2 linked regions of the Drosophila melanogaster genome follow. The protein of the gene in region 1 interacts with the protein of each later gene in a pairwise test. Each region holds a gene or a part of one and is shown on either strand. Other genes may lie near its edges. The genes, in order: CG11768 and Mes2.

The links.
Region 2: the proteins of CG11768 (region 1) and Mes2 interact in a two-hybrid assay, tested with the Drosophila melanogaster proteins (one large-scale study listed by BioGRID).

What each region holds. Positions count from the first base shown.
Region 1 is NT_033777.3:8,763,108-8,771,183, reverse strand, and holds the start of CG11768 (uncharacterized protein), read left to right. Parts: upstream 1-2,992; 5' UTR 2,993-3,064; exon of another isoform or gene 3,065-3,109; intron 3,110-3,389; 5' UTR 3,390-3,850; intron 3,851-8,076. Other genes in the region: CG8236 (uncharacterized protein), read right to left, coding at 162-518, 594-779, 837-1,112, 1,176-1,679.
Region 2 is NT_037436.4:22,942,202-22,953,582, reverse strand, and holds Mes2 (Mesoderm-expressed 2), read right to left. Parts: upstream 7,927-11,381; 5' UTR 7,797-7,926; coding exon 7,643-7,796; intron 7,589-7,642; exon of another isoform or gene 7,399-7,588; intron 7,314-7,398; coding exon 7,013-7,313; intron 3,052-7,012; coding exon 2,193-3,051; 3' UTR 1,335-2,192; downstream 1-1,334.

The sequences.
Region 1 (8,076 bases):
ATTACATTCATTTAATAAGACTAAAATTTATTTCATTTTATGTTATGTATATTTGTTTATATTTCTCTAAACATATTGGACAATTTATTTATATTTGACTGCAACCATTCATATTCAGACAACAGGGAATTTAACTAATCAACGTAATGGCAATCAATGGCTTAATAACGCAATCCCAGAAGTTCGTAGAGCGGCACCTCAGCCACAGATTCACTGGCGCTGGACTCCTCAAAGTCACCGCTCTGCAGGAGATACTGTGGCCGCTCCAGTTCCGGATGGGCCAGATAGAAATCGATCAGGGCAGTGGTGCTCCGCAGGTGGGTGATGCCCTTAAAGATCTTCTCGCGGGTCAGCAGATCATCCGGATAGACTGTCTTAATGACGGTGTCCCCGGATCGTTTTAACCACGGACGATCCTTCAGTGGAACAGTGCGTCCAAATGCACTTAGCAGGGGTTTCTGGTTCACTCGGGTAGCGTGGTCATTAATGTGCTTCTCGTACTTAAGCTCAATGGCCATCTAGAAATGTAATATAATTAATAATCTGGATAACTTGTATATTGATTATAAGGGGATTTCTCTATCGTTACCTACATGTGGCTTGTTCCATTTATCGGCCACTGTCTGAGCAATGGCGTTGACCTCCTTGGGATCTGTCTTCACGGAGGCCAACAGGGTGCGATCGCCCTTGATGGAAAAAAGGTTCTTGACCTTTTCCGGGGTCAAATTGCTTTCCAAGGTGCCAAAGGAGTTCAGCCACTCGACAAAACGTTCTGCCGACTGTGGAGATGGGAATTTTAAGGATATAATGTAATAGAAAAGGGTAACCATACTAACCGCATCCATGAGGTTCTCAGCCTGCTCGTCCAGCGTGACCATGGAGAAGTTCTGGCCCGGATGCTCAACGCGACTCTGCCAGCTGACTCTCTTATCGCGCGGCGCGCACAGAAACTTGGCGTACCAACTGGACTTGTCCACGAATCGATGGGTGTGTCCCACCGGCTCATCCAACTTCAGATCAAACTTCTCGAACTCGTGCTCCATGCGCACAATATCCGAGTGGTCACTCTCGTTGAAGTACTCCTCCACCTTCTTGCGGCCAATTTCAAGGAGCTAAATTATCAGAGGATTTATATAAGGTATTGTGGAAAAGGCTCAAAACTACTCCATATCTACCACGTGGTCCTCTTCCTCCTCACTTTTTTCGCTGCTCTCGGCGCTCATGTAGTCCTCGGGTCGCACCTCCTGCATTTCGTCTCTGATGTAGATGTCCTCGTCCGACTTGGAATAGTCATAGTTCTGGATGCGCTTGACCCTCTCGCGCAATCGTGGCGGCAGCACAAGGGAATAGTCAATGACGGGAATGCGCGGCTGGAAGCGGCAGGCGGCACTGAACTCCACATCCTCAATGGCCGCGTTCCAGTAATCCTTGCCCACCAGTCCCTCACGACTTGTCAGTTTGGAGAATCCGCTCATCCCAGTGCTGGAGGATCGCTCCTTCTGCATGAGCTGCGCCTTCGTCTCCATCCGTTTGGCCTTAACTGGCTTGGCCGTAGTCTGACCAATCGTGGAGTCCAGTCGGGCGGATCGCAACATTCGGTTGATAATTGGCCGATTGGACCGCGCCACAATCGTGTTTCGCACAGTCGACCCATACTGGTGCTCCCTCCTAATTGACATGTCTGCGACTAGAAAGAATATATAACGAAACTGCCGCCGGTGGAGTATCGGAATTTTCGTTCAGTTTGTTTGTTCAATACACATTCGAGTTTCGTTCTATGACAACCAGAGCTTGTAGGCGAGTGTAACACACCATCTGCTGAAATCTATATCGTATAACCTTAGGCAGCTGATTCTAAATTGTGCACATTAGCTTGAGGATGTTCTCCATAGTACTTACATACTTATTTGCTTAAAGGTATTTATTAAATATAACCCATCAGAGTTTATTAGAAAGGTGAAGGTCTGCTGATCTTAGTGATTTTACTTGCATAGAGAGTCACTTTAAGTGACCCGCTTAAAGACGGCCGGGTCTGCTGGGGCAACGATTTAAGTGAAACCATTATGGCAATAATTGCGTATACGACCCGTTGGTGCGCTGCGAACACAAAGAATGTCCGACGGGTGGCAAAAAATCAGAGTGGCACACACAAACGAAAGCATAGGTAAAGCAAGCGGAGTCGGGCTAAAATTTATACCCAAAAGCCAACAGGTTGCCCGAGCCATCTGTTTTACTTTGCTTTCAGTGTGTGCAAACTCATGGATGGGCAGACAGACACCACACGCACACACAATCCCAAAGGCAGACACCTCTGGCCATTTGATGCTCACTTAGCTGCGTCCCACTCATAAACAAGCCACTCATTTGCAGCCAATGCCCAAGGGGTTAATCCCCCCGAATAACCCCTCCAATTTCCCTTATTCACGGCGTGAAATTGGCATGCAAATTTTATGAAATTCGGTACAATTTAATAAAGACTGTGCCTGCACAAAAGGAAAAGGTTCAGTTATGTGATTTAAGGCGTACATCATATATTGATTGGTATTTTTTAAATATCAGCTTTCAATAATTTTACGTTCTATTATATTTAGGTAACAATAATTATTTGTTAAGAAAATGTGGTAACTTATAAGATATTTTAGAAAAATTTTAAAATCTAATTTGCATTTATAAAATTTGTCTGCGGCAATTCCAATGATTTAATGTGGCATCCGACTCACCTCAAGTCCCTTCCGTTGCAAACCGGAAATGAATCACGTCGCACAAAAACTGAAAATCCAAAAAGGATATAAAAATAAGCGGCGAACCGAGTAAGCGCGTAAAAAATGCAAGCGGCAAACGACAGGAAGGCAAAGCAACAATTCAGCCATAAAGGCAGTCATGCTAATACTGAATCCCACTCAAACAGCCGAGTGCCAACTGCAACTACTCACTCGAAGAGCCGATTGAAGCCGAGCAGCGAGTCCTTAGACGGAGTTCCTTCAGTCCGTCCTCGGCTTTCGAGCGTTTCAGTCGCGAGTTCGGATCGAAAAGGACACTGGACGAGTGCAGAGCGTTCCAAGTGGTACCAACAACAAATGCCTCAGTATTATAGCCAATGCTAGAAAGTGTTAGTGTTGTTTCGCTTGATTTCAGCCAAGTCAAAAGCCAGAAGCAGTGTTGTGTAATCCAGTGAAGATGAATACTATCTATGGCCATTAAACGGAGCATTATTTCCTGATTAAATGCTGTGCTTTCATGCGACACACTTTGCTAGTGTTGTTAGTTGACTTAACCTAATGGCCTTCATGTCGCCATCAAGTCGGAGTGACACGCCGACGGCGCTTACGCCCCTCCCACAGACATTTAATGCCAATTAAAATGTTTGCTCTTTGATGTTTCCATTGCAGAATGAATGGGGAAACCAAATGCCAGCGAGATCAAAAATAATAAAAAAAAAGAAAAATGCAAATATTAAACAGATATAAAGCCGAGAGCCCCAAATGAACCAACGTATTAAGAGCCCTAATCGTAAGCGAAAGGCGAACCAAGTTTTGTAGCATACTTTTTTGGGTTTACGTCATGTTTGTCTACGCGAACCGCCATTTGTGCTTGTGTGCTTGAGTCCGCACACAAACACGCACACCATTATGTCGCCTGTATTCGTGCCTGTGTCTGTGCCTGTGTTTGTGTTTGCATTGGTGTCTGTGGGCCAGAATGCATGCCAATCAGTATCAGAATCAGAGTCCTAAATCCTGAGTCCTGAGTCCTGAAACCTGAATCATCGACTGTCCAAACATCGTGCATTGCTTTTATCCGCCTGGGCTAATTAGCTGCAGGTAACAGGTAGCTGGTCCTTGTGCCGTTTTACGTAAGTGTTCCTCCCACATCCACATGCATTCCCCCATGAGTGTCCAATTAATTTTAAATACCACACATTTAACTAAGTGCCTTGCATTGTCTCTGTGCCGTCTACTAGCCAAACCAAAGCCATGTCTTCGTTCATAAACCAAACACATCTTTCGAATCCAGCTCATGCCCGCCACTCAAATACAATTTTCAACACTCGAGCTTAATTGAGAAATGCATGTACATCTAATGCATATTTGGAATTGCATAAAACAGCTTTCGAATTAATTTAATTTGCATATCGACCTGATAGTTTCCTTGAACACTTTCATTTTGCTTGATTTCTTCTACTTTAAGTCCAGAATGGTCCTTGAATGATTTGAGTTCAATTCCATTTGTTTTTTTAAATTGAATGCTAAGCGTAAGTGTAATTTCCTGCACCTATTTATAAGCATGAATATTTAAAATATTTCCGCCCGCACTTACCCCGATTCCCCCAAAATCTCAATTTCGATTTGGCCCTTTCCGCTTCCTGTCAATCTGCAAACGATGGCAGCGACATTAGCTCTCGACTCTAGAGAACTCTATAAATAAATGAGAATTGTGGGTAGCGCGCCATTGCGAGAGGATATGGGTGAGTATACCGCGGGAGGAAGAGCTGTTGCGATGCGATGGCATATCCATGTCCTGCATGTCCTGCTGACCCTCCACGAACGGGGGATTACTCATACGTCGTTTAATATGAAAATATAATTCGCTTTTTGTTGTGCCATGTACTCTCTTCTGTGGTCTTTCCCGCTGTGCGTGTGGCCAAGAGATATGGGTACGCGTGGTATCCCCACGTTCCCCTTCCGTCACCCGATCCTTCATTTTTCCACGCCGCAGGACACAAGGACCGCAATCAGCTAAGCAAACGCGTCAAATGCATACATTTTCCACCAGCCGTGCGACAAGCTCTTAATAGAACAAGAAAAACTGCGGCGTGGAAACAAACCGATGTGGTCAATGCCCTAAAAATGTAATTGAAAAATTGTACTTTATTTGTAAATTGCCTTCAAAGTATGGCGGTATTATCTTAAATTATGAAAAACGCCCCAATTGCAAAACAACTTTAATGACTTGCAATAAAAAATGTGCTTAGAAATTAGGATTCTAAAACAAGCCCCAAGGCAATAAAAAACAAATTGCATCTGAAAGTTCGATGATTCAAATTAAAAATACATTTTTATCCGTTCGTCTAAAAACCAGATATTCAGAAGGCTTTTCTTTAGAACAAACTTAATTAGTATCCTTTGAAGAGTATCTTGAAATGATGAGTGATGGCGCTGACAGGCGAGTTGTTCACAGTTTTGCGACGGATTCCTAGCGCTTATATGACACATGAGATGCATTTGAGTGAAATGTGCACACAGACTGATGTATGCAGTCATATGCTTTATGGCCTTTCAGGTTGCAAAATATTTACCCAGTCATGGTAATCATCTGAAAGGTATCCAATAAATGTTGCTATTCGATTGACGGAAGCCAAGCCCGTGTCACAGATGTGTTCTTCGGATGGTGATAACTTTGATTGGGAATCTCGACATTTCCACATTGAGCACTTCAACGAGCGCGGAGTGCGGAAAATTCCTATCAGGTGCAAGGACTACAATGCAATCCCCGCACGCTGGCAGTTCGATCCATTGAGAAGAACAGGCAATGTCAATCTGGCAAGGATGGTACATAACCCCACCTCCTCCCTGTTTTTCTCCTGCCTTAAAACTTTTCCATGGCAGAGGGCAAAAAAATCGAAGCGTTTGACATGTGGCCAACATGTCAGGGGAGTTCCCATTCTCCATTCTTGTGTTGTGTGTTCTTGCCTCGCGGCGTTGGCAAGGTATGGATTGAATGCAACCAGGTGGGGGCATCTAAGACATGGAGCCAGGCATTTTACAGATGCGCCACTGGCCAAAGTAGAAAAAAAAGATGATATTTCTATTCCGAGCTGTATCAATTAAATGTAAGGAACTCAACTATGATGATAGAAACTATTGATTGACCTTCAATGTCACATTCATTAATCTCCTAGAGCTTCCTTTTTAAGAAGTTTTCCACTGTGCAGTTGCAACTTGCTTAAAGAACAAGAACACTTGAGGGAATAGAGGCAGTCTTCATATGGATACCCGCATCCTCGTATGGCCATCGGCAATGCTGCATGTCTGGGGGAGTGCGAGTCCTGCATTGTGGCGCCACATCCGAGTAGTGGGCACCCAGAATGGAGAACTGGGAGCCGAAAACTGAAGACTGGCACTATTTGCTGACGGTCTCGGCCTCCTTTGTCAGCCATTGTTTGACTAGATGGCCTTGTGCTCCATTTCACACAGTCGAGTGGCACGTCACAATATTTTATAGTTATGGTGTGTTTCATTGACATAAGTTGGCTTTGTTTGGCAAAGTGTGTTGGCTGGTTTTATGTGGGGCGCGCAATAAATAAATTAGCCACAAATCACAACGTTTAAGCGTGGTATGCTAACTATAGCATAAGCATAAACAGTAATTTTATGTTGGCAACTTTTGATTTATTGCACAACGTTGTTATATGACATGAAGGCAGTAAGACAGTAACAAAGCACCAAAAACATGGCCTGTAATTGCTGTCAGCGGGTGACTTTTCGGTGGGTGGTGGCTTAGGCCATGGCCAAGTCTACAAAATATGGCCGCTCTTTCTTTCCTTCCCTCAGACTTTTTAAGGCAACTTTTTTCTACACGTTCTCAGAATGTATACGTATTAAAAATTTGGCAAGACATGCGACATTTTTAGCCCTAATTTGAGAGCACTCAGTGATGATGATAACGATTTTGAACTTTTCATTATGCAAAGTGATCAAAAGTGGCATTAATAATTCAGGCACACATAAGAAAATTAAGCAACGAGCCATGTCAAAGATAAGGACCTTAATTTGTATATACACACACGTATATATTATTTCAATTGCCATATCAAATTATGGCCACTCAGCGTCGTGGGTGTGGCCTTCTTAATGCCTTAATGGATATCAACTTGAGGTTAAAGTTCAGAATACCCTATAAATGTTTTAAAACAATTTTTTTATATTTTAGTGTCTACAAATATTACTGACAAGAAAGATCTTTGAATATTGGTGCATATTTTAGCACTTTTAGCGAACCAAATTTTCGGCAAACTCAGCTCGTTATCAACTTTATTACTGCGAAACTTCTTTAGCTGATTTTTCCATGGAATCTTGAACCCAAAAGAAAACTTTTCCGACTCTTACCCACAAACACTGAAATCGTATTTTTCTTTGTATTTTTGGGTAAATGTTTTTTCTGTTTTTTTTTTCTTGGTTGAAAATGAAAACTTACGGGCACTGCTCAATTGAAATGCGCATTTGGAAAATTGGCAAAAACAAGTGACTGAAATTCAATATTATATATGTATATATTTAATATATATTATATGGCAGAGGGAAACTTTCCATCCGCCAGCCAGTTTGAAAAATAAGCACAAACCGGTCCTGACCTGCGTGGCAATATTGGCCAACCGAGGGCTTCCAGGACTTGATAAATGGGCTGATTTGACTTTCGACTCGTAAACACTCACAAACACACGTACACTCGCGCACACACAGATACTCACACCCACTTGCAGGACAGACAAACAAACACTCGTGAAGTCGACCAGTTGGTTATCTTAAATGCTACAAGTGCTTTGGAAATTGATTGAAAATACTGCCCGCCTGCCAATGGATTTTCTCGAGTTTGTATTTCACGCTATTCGTACCATTTCCCTCGACTGCTTCGAACGTATTGAATAATGCATCCAGACCAAATAACAAATATACACGCATATACACTCAGTGCGTATACGCCCCGTTGGCGGTGGCAAATCGGCACACTTGCCTGCCCAATGGCTAAAATATTTAATTAAATTTAATTTGGCTTTCGTGCGGAATAAAGCTAATTGTTGCAAATGGTATACAGGTTAAAATTAAATTGCTTCCCACAAAGGGTAATGGCTATTTATAATGAACGGCCAAAGTCAAAGCGATTACATTACGGTGTACATCTACTCTGGGAAATTTTTAAGTGTTTATTAAATGTGTCAATAGTAAACTTTTTTAGATTCATTTAACTTCATATATAATAAGGCAATGAATAAATTAAAGCGAATTGCACATTTATTGAACGTAAAATTCCTGAAATTAAACCATTTTTATTGCATTACGCAGAGTTCCTTTGAGCATTCAA
Region 2 (11,381 bases), on another chromosome or scaffold:
GTTTTTCTATTTTCTAAATTTCTTTATTATAGCAATTTGCTATAGATGTCAAATGTTGATAAAACATATGTCAAAATTGTTAAATAGAAGTAAACGTTTCATAGAAGAGGCGATTTAGTAATTGTAATTTGTGTGGTTTTTGAAAATATATTAACGTGTCCTGAGTATTGTTATTCACCGATATGGTTCTAAGCCATTTCATAACTTCCACTGGGTATACCATGTCAGAAGTTTGCAGTGAAAGATAGTAGTATATATGTACATATGTTATATTCGTAATAAGTATCAAAAAGTATCTGCCAGTCTGCTGCAGAAACTGGTCTTGGCTTTAAAGCTTTCTACAAACAACTTTTATAAAAGTATTTTCTATTTCAGGCAGTATATATGTATGTAAGTTGCAACGGGCCGGATCCGAGAACTATATTGCTGATATATAGTTGACATACTCGGTCCAATTTTAAGTTCCAGTTTAACGAAAATGTTGGCTCTTTAAAATTGTAAACAGCCGGCCACGGTCATTGAACCCGCTTCTTTTAGCAACAGAGGTGCTAACGCAGGCAGCATCCCTTAGGGGCACTGCATTACGGCCTTCAATGAATTCATTCAGCTATTATTGCGTTGAAAAACCAGTTTTGGGCTGCGTCGAGGCTAGGGCTGAGTTTTGGCATCTTCTGCGCATGCGCAACGCTCTTTTTGGGTTTAAGGGTTTGAGGTAGCTAGATACCTTGGCCAGGCCGAATCTCTTGATAGGGGTTGCTTACCGTAGGTTTCGATGTGGCTATGTATTTATCTTAATAAATTTTTCGGTCATATGCAGCGATACCCAGGCTCGATTCGCCGTTTTTTTTGGCTAGGCTTACCCACATCTGCCTGCCATGGTATTTATACGTTGTTGTAGTCTTTTGTTCCTTTGTTCTTCGCCTATACGTCCTCTGTATTAATGAATTGGAATTCCTGCAGTCTTACTTGAGCAGAATTGGCAGGATGCTATATGGATGTGTTACAGGCCCAATGTGAGTGCTTTCCATTGTCGTAGGGCTGTTGTTGCTATTTGAGTATCATATTCAAATTTTGTTTAGTTTAGGAGCTTTAAGTATGTAGATTTACACCGAAACCAACAAGAGGAAAAAAATCCCCTTTCGCATTATTAATAATTTGTATACCTTTGCAGAAGGTACATTGATTTTAGTCAGATATTTGCCACACAGTAAAGGGGGCATTTGCAACCGTAAAAGTTATAAATGCTCCATCAATGTGAACTGCCTAGTCTATAAAGCTAGTCAGTCGTGAATGCCATAGCAATAATCGCAAGAATAAAATGGATAACAAAGTTTCCTGATTTGGTATCGATATAAAATATTTATTCCTGACTATAAATAATTTCGGATTTAAATTAATAAAAATCGGCTGATTATGTTCATGTTCGGTAGACACGTTTGATTTTTTTATATTTAAAGGTACTTTATTACTCAATATCCACCGAAAAACGGAAAACTTTTTCAAAATTTTTGATTTAAATTGGGCTGAATGGCCAAAACATTGTCTGCGTACATCGATAGCAAAGCATTACTGCCAAAGATGGTGTTTTATTCAAAAACGACAAATTGTTAAAGCTGTTCTCATTTAGTGTTCAGATATTGTTAATATTCATATCGCTGTATATGAAACTATGAGTAATATGCTCGCTTTTTTAAGTTAAAAACTTTTCTTTTCTAATTTCTACGTTTTCAACTTAACAAGAAGTTATATTATATATAGGCGATATAATCTGGGTAAAATAAAAGGTTATATAAAGAATTGTTTCATGTGATGAGACGTTGGCATGAGTATGAACTACAGTTGATCGACTTAAAACGAAATTAACATTTAAAGCTTAATTAATCTATGTTTCTTATTTTGCTATTTCTTGGTTTACGTCTTTGTGTTGTCTTTTCGTTGAGTTTGGTTCATTTTTGTTAATAGGAGCGAAAAAATTAGAGAATGTTTTAGAAAATCATTCATATTTGATTGATCCTTTTGGTATGGCACAGATTTGGCATTGGCAAGTAAATTTGTATTTCTTTAGGAAAGTAATATATAATGGCAAGAAAATTCAGTTATAAGTGCTCTGAGCAGCAACATCATTCCATTATGTACTTTTTTTTGGCTACTATAATTACACCCGTACACTTAGCGCTCTTCTCCTCCGCTGTCTATTTCGTGGACCCTTCGCACTGCTGCACTTGAACCAGTAAGAGAAGAATGCGATTCATTAAATTGTCCGCGTCCGAGTCCTCCATGCTGTTTAGCTTGGCTGAAATAAAGCCGCAGAACTTGGAGTTCAAAACCTCACGTACAGTTTGTGGGGGCGGCAGATCCAACCCTCCGCTTGCGACGCCCTGTTGCTGCCGGAGATGGCGGTGCTGTTGCAGCATTTGTTCTTCGTAGTCGTCACCATCGATAACCGCATCGCCGTGACCGTTTCCTTCCTCCAAAACATCTTGATCGACGTTACGGCGAAGCTTGCGGGACATGACCACATCGTCCACACCAACATTGGGGCTACCGCGTGAGTTGGAATCCAGAATCAGAGGATAAGGGAAATCTGCATCGATGGCATCCAACTCCTCCACTACGTCGGATGCGTGGGCGATATCTTCGTCCCCGCTGCGTATCGAGCTGTCGTCCATGTCTTCATAGCTGTGATGCTGTGCCCTTTGCTCGTTTCTCGTTGAGCTCACCCGACTGTCGTTGTGAGCCTGGTGAGCGGGCAGAGGAAGTGGCCCGCCGCCGGAGCTACTCCCACTTGTGCTACTTCCGGCCCCACCGCCCACCGAGAGATCCAGCTCCGGCTTCACATAGTAGTCGCAATAGTAGTGATCGTCGCTTACATTGAGCGAGGAGCACTTTGAGAGATTTAACACTGAGGCGGACTCGTTAAAGGAATTGGACAGCTTCAGGGTCATTGCCTTTCCCCCTGCAGCCAAGCTGTTACTGTTGTTGTTGTTGTTGTTGTTATTGTTAATATGGCCATAGGTTGTCAGGCTTAGATCGGTTGCATGCGAAGCGCCCCTATAATAGAAAGAACATATGTTAGAAGACTAAATTATTTCACATTTTAACGGGTTTAAGGTTGGGTTTTACTTTTGCGTCATATTCAATATTCATATTCGCAGCAAGTCTGCGGTATTTTTTTATTTTGTATTGATGTTAAGTTGAATACTAATAAAAATTTGATGAAGGAGGTTGTTTAAAAGGGCATACAAAAAGATTAATAAATTTATTAAATACAATAACATATAACCGTGACTAGTGGTTATGTACATTGTTTTTAATACACTTTAAGAACCGCCTACGTTCTTAAATTAAAAGTAGAAAGAATACTTTTCTTTGTCTCTCACACATCATTTATAGTATAACAGATTTTCTTTCTCTTATCTTAAATTATATTAATTACAATAAATAAAAAAATATTAAATAATGCTGGCAATAATCATTTGCAAAACGTTGGGCAAAAAATTAGAAATAGAATAGTCTGAAAGACAAATCAATAAGTTCGTAAAACTTTGCTAGGTTGTCATCAACTAATTAGCTTTGTTTTATGCCGACGGACATTGCGATCGGATAGTGACCCTGATAAGGAAAGCATGTTCGTATTAATTGTGAGTTCGAAAACACACAAAAATATAATTGTATTAGCCTTATAGAGTTCATATGTTTCCTGTGACTCAACGATTCATATCCCCATTTTGAAATCTTGTCTGTTTAAGGCAATAACACAAGAAATGCATAAACATAAATGTCTTTCAGTGTAGTATCGCTTCCTGTCTCTCTCCTTACGCGTCTCAAGTTTCAAGAGCATTTTCACAGGCAATGCAGCTGCCTGGGCCGGGTGCTCAAAGAACATCTGAACGTGGCTATTTTGGGCCTCCCCCATACCTATAGTTATTTGCCGAATGCAAAGACCTGGCCTAGTGGTAGGCACGGGCATGGGCGACCTAGAAGACAGCCTTATCACCGCAATCGGCTGCAGGTAGTTGACAATTGTAAAATTTGAAAACTGATACTCGCTCGCCAGCCAAGACCAAAAAACTCGCAGGACTAATCGAGTCGAAATACATTTTCACATGTTCCACAATCGGGAATGGCTTTATTTACTTCATTATTTTGACTTGGTTTCTTTTCGGGGTTTGAATCGCTCAGCTTATCATTATTTGCTTCCGCTCTTGCTTAGGTCCCAAGCCGTTTTCCGAGATTGTTTATGGGTTTTTGTGGTTTGAATTCGTTTTCTAAAATCTCTATCACCTGCACTTGGAAACAAATCTATGAATATTAATATAATAATAACATAATTAAATATTCCAATGGTCCGAATGAGATTTTAGATTTTTGCAGACCTAGAACTTTTTATTATGATTTATTAGGCAAGAACTAGCTCCATGCAAAGGCATTTAAAGGTACGAGAATCAAAAGGCAAGCACGGACTACCGCCCACTTTTCTTCTTCCGTGACGCATTGGCTAAAGCATTTCAATGCGAAATACGGCGGACAGTGATTTCAGGGCGTGGGGCGAGATTCGGATTGTGGGGATGACGGACAGCCAAACAATTTCAGCAATTTCGCAGCACATTTGCTTATTAAATCATAAGCGTGACACAGACAGAGCCCAGCAGAACTTTCACACCCAAGTGGCCTCGTGTGTGTGAGGGTGAGGGTACGAGAGCCCCCCATTAAGAGAGGACTGAACGACGAAAGCATGTGGGCCAGGGCAGCCTGAAAGAGGCGTCCAGACCCCGACTCTGGGTCTCAGCAACCCCTTGGCCGGGACGCGGCCGATGCGGCTGGCTAATGGTCGTGGGCATATTTTTAACCCTGGCCGAAGTCAGACCAAGCTATTCGTTCAATTACTCAGCTCACCCATACAGCGATCTTTACGAGTGTTCGGTGCTCATGTCATACACACACAGGCAGAACCTCGCTCATTTTCCCTTACCAGCCCCTTTCTCGCTCACGAGCTACCAGTCTTTCCCAACTTGGTCCACTCGCAATCCGTATTCTTCGGTGCTGATTGTCATTTTCGTAGTGCTCTCATTAATTTATCGCTCTCTCGGCGCCTTCCCATAGTCCCCACCCCTCTCGCAAGCACTATTCGATGGACTTGGTCTTGCGTTTGCAGCTTCCCTCAATTTCGTTTTTGGTTCAAGCAGCGACGATGCTGCGACGTTGTATAATATTCGCCGCTTGGCGAGATCTGTGTTATGGCTATGGCTGTGGCTATAGCTGCGGCTATAGCTCCGGCTCAAGCGCTGCCCGACTGGCCGGGCCCGTTGAGCTGTCTGTTATCAGCTCACAATAATAAAAATTTAAATATATACACACACCATGGGTGAGTGTGCGCGGGCATGTGTCGGGGCCGTCGACTGCTTGTTGCCCATGTGGGTACAGTCAATTGAAAGGAAATGGCCTTATTTCATATAAATATGTACATAAAGTACACACACTCACACACACACACACACCCGCAGCTCGAGCACGGCTCCATATGAGCCAGAACATTGGACGGGGCAGACTCTCGACTGAGACCATTTGCGGGTCTCTGGCCCGGTCATTCCTTTGTTCGGATTGGTTTTTTCCACATTACCGCTCCTTAGTGTCCATATGCCCCCTTGCCTTGTTTTTGCTATTCTTTTTCGCTGGGCAGATGTTTTCTCAGACACGGTGCTGAGATTTGCTCGAATTGTTGGGCGTTTATGCAAATCGACTGGGCTAAGGGATGAGTTTTGTACGAAGGCTCGAATGGAAGTGGAATTTCGTAGTTACGGTTCGAATAACTTTATGCTAAACTTATCACATGTTTTTTATGTGACAATTGTATGTATTGTCTATTCGATCTGAACATATTTCCGAATTCTCAATTTATTTAAATTGTCAGATCTTTACGAAGTCCGTGATTCTATGATTTTTGAAATAAATTTATTGACATATTTTGTCCAACATTAGATCTAAGCCATGACTCACAAACTCATACACTTCTCAGTGTACATAAGCTGAAGTGGCTACTCGCATAAAATGATAAGATTCTTGGAATTTCCTGCAATAATTATTTTTGATTGAGCCAAGCTAAACAACATTGTTCGCTTGACTGACTACTGACAAGCACACATATTTTTAGGGGGGCAGATTCGGAAAAACCTCTTTCAGACACAGGACTGGAAAGCATACAATACCTTCGACCAATGTAAATGATCGTTGGAAAGGTGAGTCACATTATTATTGTGTATAAGTTAGCTAGTCTTCAAACTGATGCATGTATTTGTTTCGCATGAATCAATCCGTGTATGACCAAAACAGAAGACCAATCTAAACCGAAAACTGTTATTCACGACTCAAGCCAAACTTTGACCGTTGTTCGATGGTTGTATGGTTAGTGACGGCTTATCAAACTCATTGTAATATAAGTAGCCAAATGTACTCCTGACACAAATAATGTTCAGAGTGTAAGACGATATTATTGAAGAACTGTAGTCGTAAGGGAGCATTACTTTTGAGAAATAACGGTTCCACTTTTAGATTTGTTTTGGTATCGATCTCCAAAAAGCAGAGGATAAGAATAAGTACGTTAATTAAGATCATTTTGGGAAAGGTAAATATTGCCTAGAAAGATTAAAAGAAAACTTGGAAATAAGTGCAATACGTTCTGTAATAATTATTCGTTGATATAGAATTTCATGTACTTTACTATTCGATTATAAGAATGACTCGTATTTCTGTCAAATTTTAAATTTAAGCGCTCTTCTCTCGTGTTCTATTATTGCTTTTGCTTTTGTAAAGCCATTTGGATGAAGATCATTTTTAGTGACATGATTTGTGGTGTGGCAATAATGGGTCAAGCAGAGAATGCAAAATTCATAACGGGCTCTATATTACTGGTCAACCCCAGGAGTCGATATTGGCATGAAACTTCCTTGACGGTTTTAAATTTAAGAGAATCACCTGGTCACCAGTTCACTAAAATACTATTCCTTATACTTACTTTCGTTCTCTGATGACATCGCGCAGGAAATCCATGGCCTCATAGAGACTCCACTTGGGCTTGAAGCCATTGCCCATTAGCTTGACGTGGGCGAGTTCACGGCGGTAGGATTCCCTCAAGGACTTGAAGGCCCGTGCAACGCGACGCCCGGGAGCGTTGAACTCGCGGCCTATGTGCTCCCAGGCTCGGTTCTTTTCTTCTTCGGCGCCCTTGAAATTCGGGAGACGGGAGTCCCAGAGAATTGGATTGTCGTGCACCATTTGGATGAGCTTCAGCTTGTCGGAGGCGTTGCGCCGAACCACTGTTGGGACACAAAAATGAATGCAAATAATATAAGTCCTCGAGTCTCGACAGTCGAATATTTTAAGAAAGCACGGTACAGGCACCTCAAAACTTCTATAAGTCGAACTTTTTTAACCCAAATGTACATACATACGTATGTACGTATATGTATGTACATTGCACATAGGGTGAACCGAACTATTTGAATAGGCAATGAAGAGATAAAATAAATTCTACTGCTTGTTCGACGTATCGACTTTCGACTGCATTTTGCATAAAAATTGTACATATATACATATGTATGTACGTATGTTTGCATGAATGTGGGGAATAAATCTGTGTACGCACATTTCTTTATCTTCTGAGAGGGCATGGCAGTTGCGGCGGCCAGGGGGTGGGGCTCCAACTTGGGCTTCATGTCAAGAGCGATTGCCGCGGCGGCAGCACTCATGTCCTGCAGCGAGTGGGTGGCGGTGGGCAAACAGCCGCTCACGGGCGCCATCAGAATGTTCTGGAGGATTTGAAGGCTTGAACTGGCCAGGGCTCCACAGTACTCTTTAGTTCGGACGCGATCGCGGTCGGCTGATAACGGGGCTGCTACCCTCTCACGACCAAGTTTAAACGGCAACTAAAAACCAAGACCAGAAAATAACAACCACCGCGGCAAGCGGGCTGCGCTCAGCCGTCGTCGACGCCGAGCCGGCAGCGCAGTTGGCAGCAAGCCCGCATTCAGAGCCAAAAAATCACGCGCATTCGACATCGACATGAGAGCCAGCTATAGCTCTTTGCGCTCTCTGTCTCTCTCCGGCCGTGGCTCGCTGCCACCGTTCCCGTTATCTGATCCAGACATATAGGTCTAAAGCGCTCTCCGGGCGCTGCCTAGAGCGCGACTCGCCGGATGGAAACCCCGTTTAATCGCAATCACAAGCCACAGAAAGTAAAAGCAAGCGAAAAGCGGCGTCGCACACACACACACACACAACAGGGAGAACGCGCAGAACGAAACAACAGAAAATGTGTGTAATACAAAAATCCGTTGACGCGTTCGCATTTGGTTTTAGCAGAGGAATTGTCGAGCGTTCGTACGTACTTGCATACATATGTATGTATGTACTACATGAATGTACCATATACACATGTATGTACATACATACATACGTACCAAAATACTTGGATAGCGTTTCTTGGCAGAATACGCTGCACTTCGGCCATATCAGCTTCAATTAATATAGGGGGGTCGATTCCCGTATCGGAACAATTTCGAGGAATTTAAAGAATTCATGACTATGTACATATGTACATACATTTATTGTAAATCTCCAACGCATTAAGGTTTTAGACTAACATAATAATTATAAGTTTACTGGAGTACACACATACATATAATCTTGATCTGTCCGCCTGTCCGTTCGCATGCAAGTTAGTGCGTTCGCAAGCCTATCCAGACGCCATGAAACCGTTTATTGGCCAGGTATCCTGCTCTCAGTTGTGAAAAGGGATTTGATTTTCATTTCATTTTGTTATATAAATGTAAATTTCCATCGAAATGACAAAAAAAATCTCAAAATTCGCTGAGTAACGGGTATCTGATAGTCGAAAGTAATCGACTATTGTTCTCTCTTGTTTTAAATAAATAAGAAGAGAGAACGCACGAGTTCCCCGAATATCAAATACCTTTTACTCAGCTAGTGGAAGTGAGAACGCGAAATTTCATAATTTTTTAGGACCATCGATAGATATTGGACAAGAAGAAATGGGAGGTTTGTGGTCGTTAGAGTGGGCGTGGCATAAAGTTTTTGTAGCAAATCGATAGAATTTTACAATACTAATAAAAATGTGAAAAAAAGATATAACATATTTTTCAAATGTGTGTCCGTGACAGGTTTCTGCGGCTTACGGTCGATAGTGGGTGTGGCATAATCGATAAAAATTTATAATTAAAAAAGATGAAAAAATATCAAAACTTTTTTAAAAGTTTTTTTGCAAAACCATACACATTTGCAAGACTAATAAAACTATGAAAGAATATCAAAACAGTTTTCAAAAGTGTGGGCGTGACAGTTTTGCCCGACTTGTGGGCGTGGAAGCAAACTGGCTCTGTGTCTATGTTTCTAGAATCTGTATGCATAATCTTGACCTTCTAGTTCTTATAGCTCCTGAGATTTCGACGTTCAACGGACGGACAGGCTATTGATCCTGATCAATAATATGAATACTTTCTATCTGTTAAATACTTTTTAACGAATCTAATATACTCTTTTATACTACGAGTAACGAGTATAATTACTGGAAGATAAATAATTTTGTGTAGAATTTACGATATAAGAGCACAAATTTGTTGTTAAATGTAAAGAGGGCTAAATATACTCATCGGACGATCTGATTCCATCAATGGCTGGCTGCTTGACTTAAAGATTTATAATTTTTTTCCAGGGGGCCTGGCCATAGCTTAAGCAATGAATAGTTGAAGAAGGGTGGGTTAGTGTTCTACCACAGTGTGTTTTTGTGGACTCCGCCCGTGGCTGGCTTCGTTCGCTGCAGTTGTAGAGTCGAAGTTCAGTTCATTATCGTATTTCCCCGTTTATAGAATTTACAAATGAACATTTGGATCACACATGTTGGTCTTGCCAAGGAGTGACAGGGAGGCACCGAGAGTGTTAGAGTGAGAATGCGTTTGAGCGAATGCGTGTGTGTGAGTGGCAGCACAGATAAGACCGTCCGAGGTTGTCTATTTTGTCCCCCGATCATTTAAGCCGCTGAAATCCAGTAACTGCAATCGACAACCGCGTCGGTAGGGAAGCAAATGGCGAACAGAGAGCCAGAGAAAAATGAAAACGCTTTGTCTGTACGTAATTTATGCCTAATGAACTATTTCCGGCCAAGTGTCAATTAATGTATTCTGTTTTGGGACAACAACAAGCAGCACAACGTGCCCGCACAAACGTTGTCACGATCATTTTTCTGGCAAAACTCTGCGATCTCCGCCCTATATCAGATTCCCCACCCTCCTTACCAAGGCAATAGCTTGCTTCCGCTGCTGTCTTCTCTTATCCACAGCTACATGCATATGTATCTGGCCAGATCTGAAGATTGCCTGAGCTATTGGACCGTTTGTTCACAGAGCGCAAGGGTATACAAGGTTAGTTTATCCACAATTTACTTACATACACACAAACTTGACATAGACCTGATATCTGGATTCCATCAAATCGAAATAGACGAAAGGAATAGACGAAAGAAATATAACATAATTCTCAGATTCGGGCGTTATAGTGGTCGTGGAAACATGAGTCAACAAACTTGCGCTGCGTCTATATCTCTGGAATCTCTAAGCTTAATCTCAACCAACTTCCAACTTTTATAGTACCTGAGATCTCGACGTTCATACGGACGGACAGACGAACGGACAGGCCAGATAAACTCGGCTATTGATCCTGATCAAGAATATTTATACACCGTATATGGTCGGAAACAATTAATTCTGCATGTTACATACTTTTCAACGAATCTTGTATACCTATTTACTCTACTTGCTGTCTCTCATAGGTCTTAACTTTGATTTTACAGACTAGCTTGCATTCAATTTATGGACCCCCGAAGAGACTATGTTTACATATAGAATTTAGATCTATTTCGAAAATTTCTTACATAAAAATTGAGAATTCTAAAACAACTAGTTATTTTTAAGCTTATTAGGTAAAAAATTAGATTTTAAATTGGATTATGTTGAAAATAAGTGCATCTTAAGCCTTCGTGATATGAATACTACATTGGCTTAAGTACATTTTCTATCGGGGATTTCTCAACGAACATTGAAAAACTGACACTCAAAACAAAAGCCTGGGACGGAAAAAAAAGATGTCCAACGATCGTCTTCTGAGGAACTTAAGCTCGGTTAGCCGATTCAAAACTGCTAAAGATATAAGATTCGAGTCGACACCAAGGTCTGCAAGATTAGATTAGATTGTGGCCTCAGTAGTTAAAATAGTTTCGAAAATGTTATTCATTGAGCTTTTTGTTGAAAATACAGAGGATCTAGTCTTGTCCGTATGAAGGCATCGATCTCAGGAACTATGAAAGCTAGAGA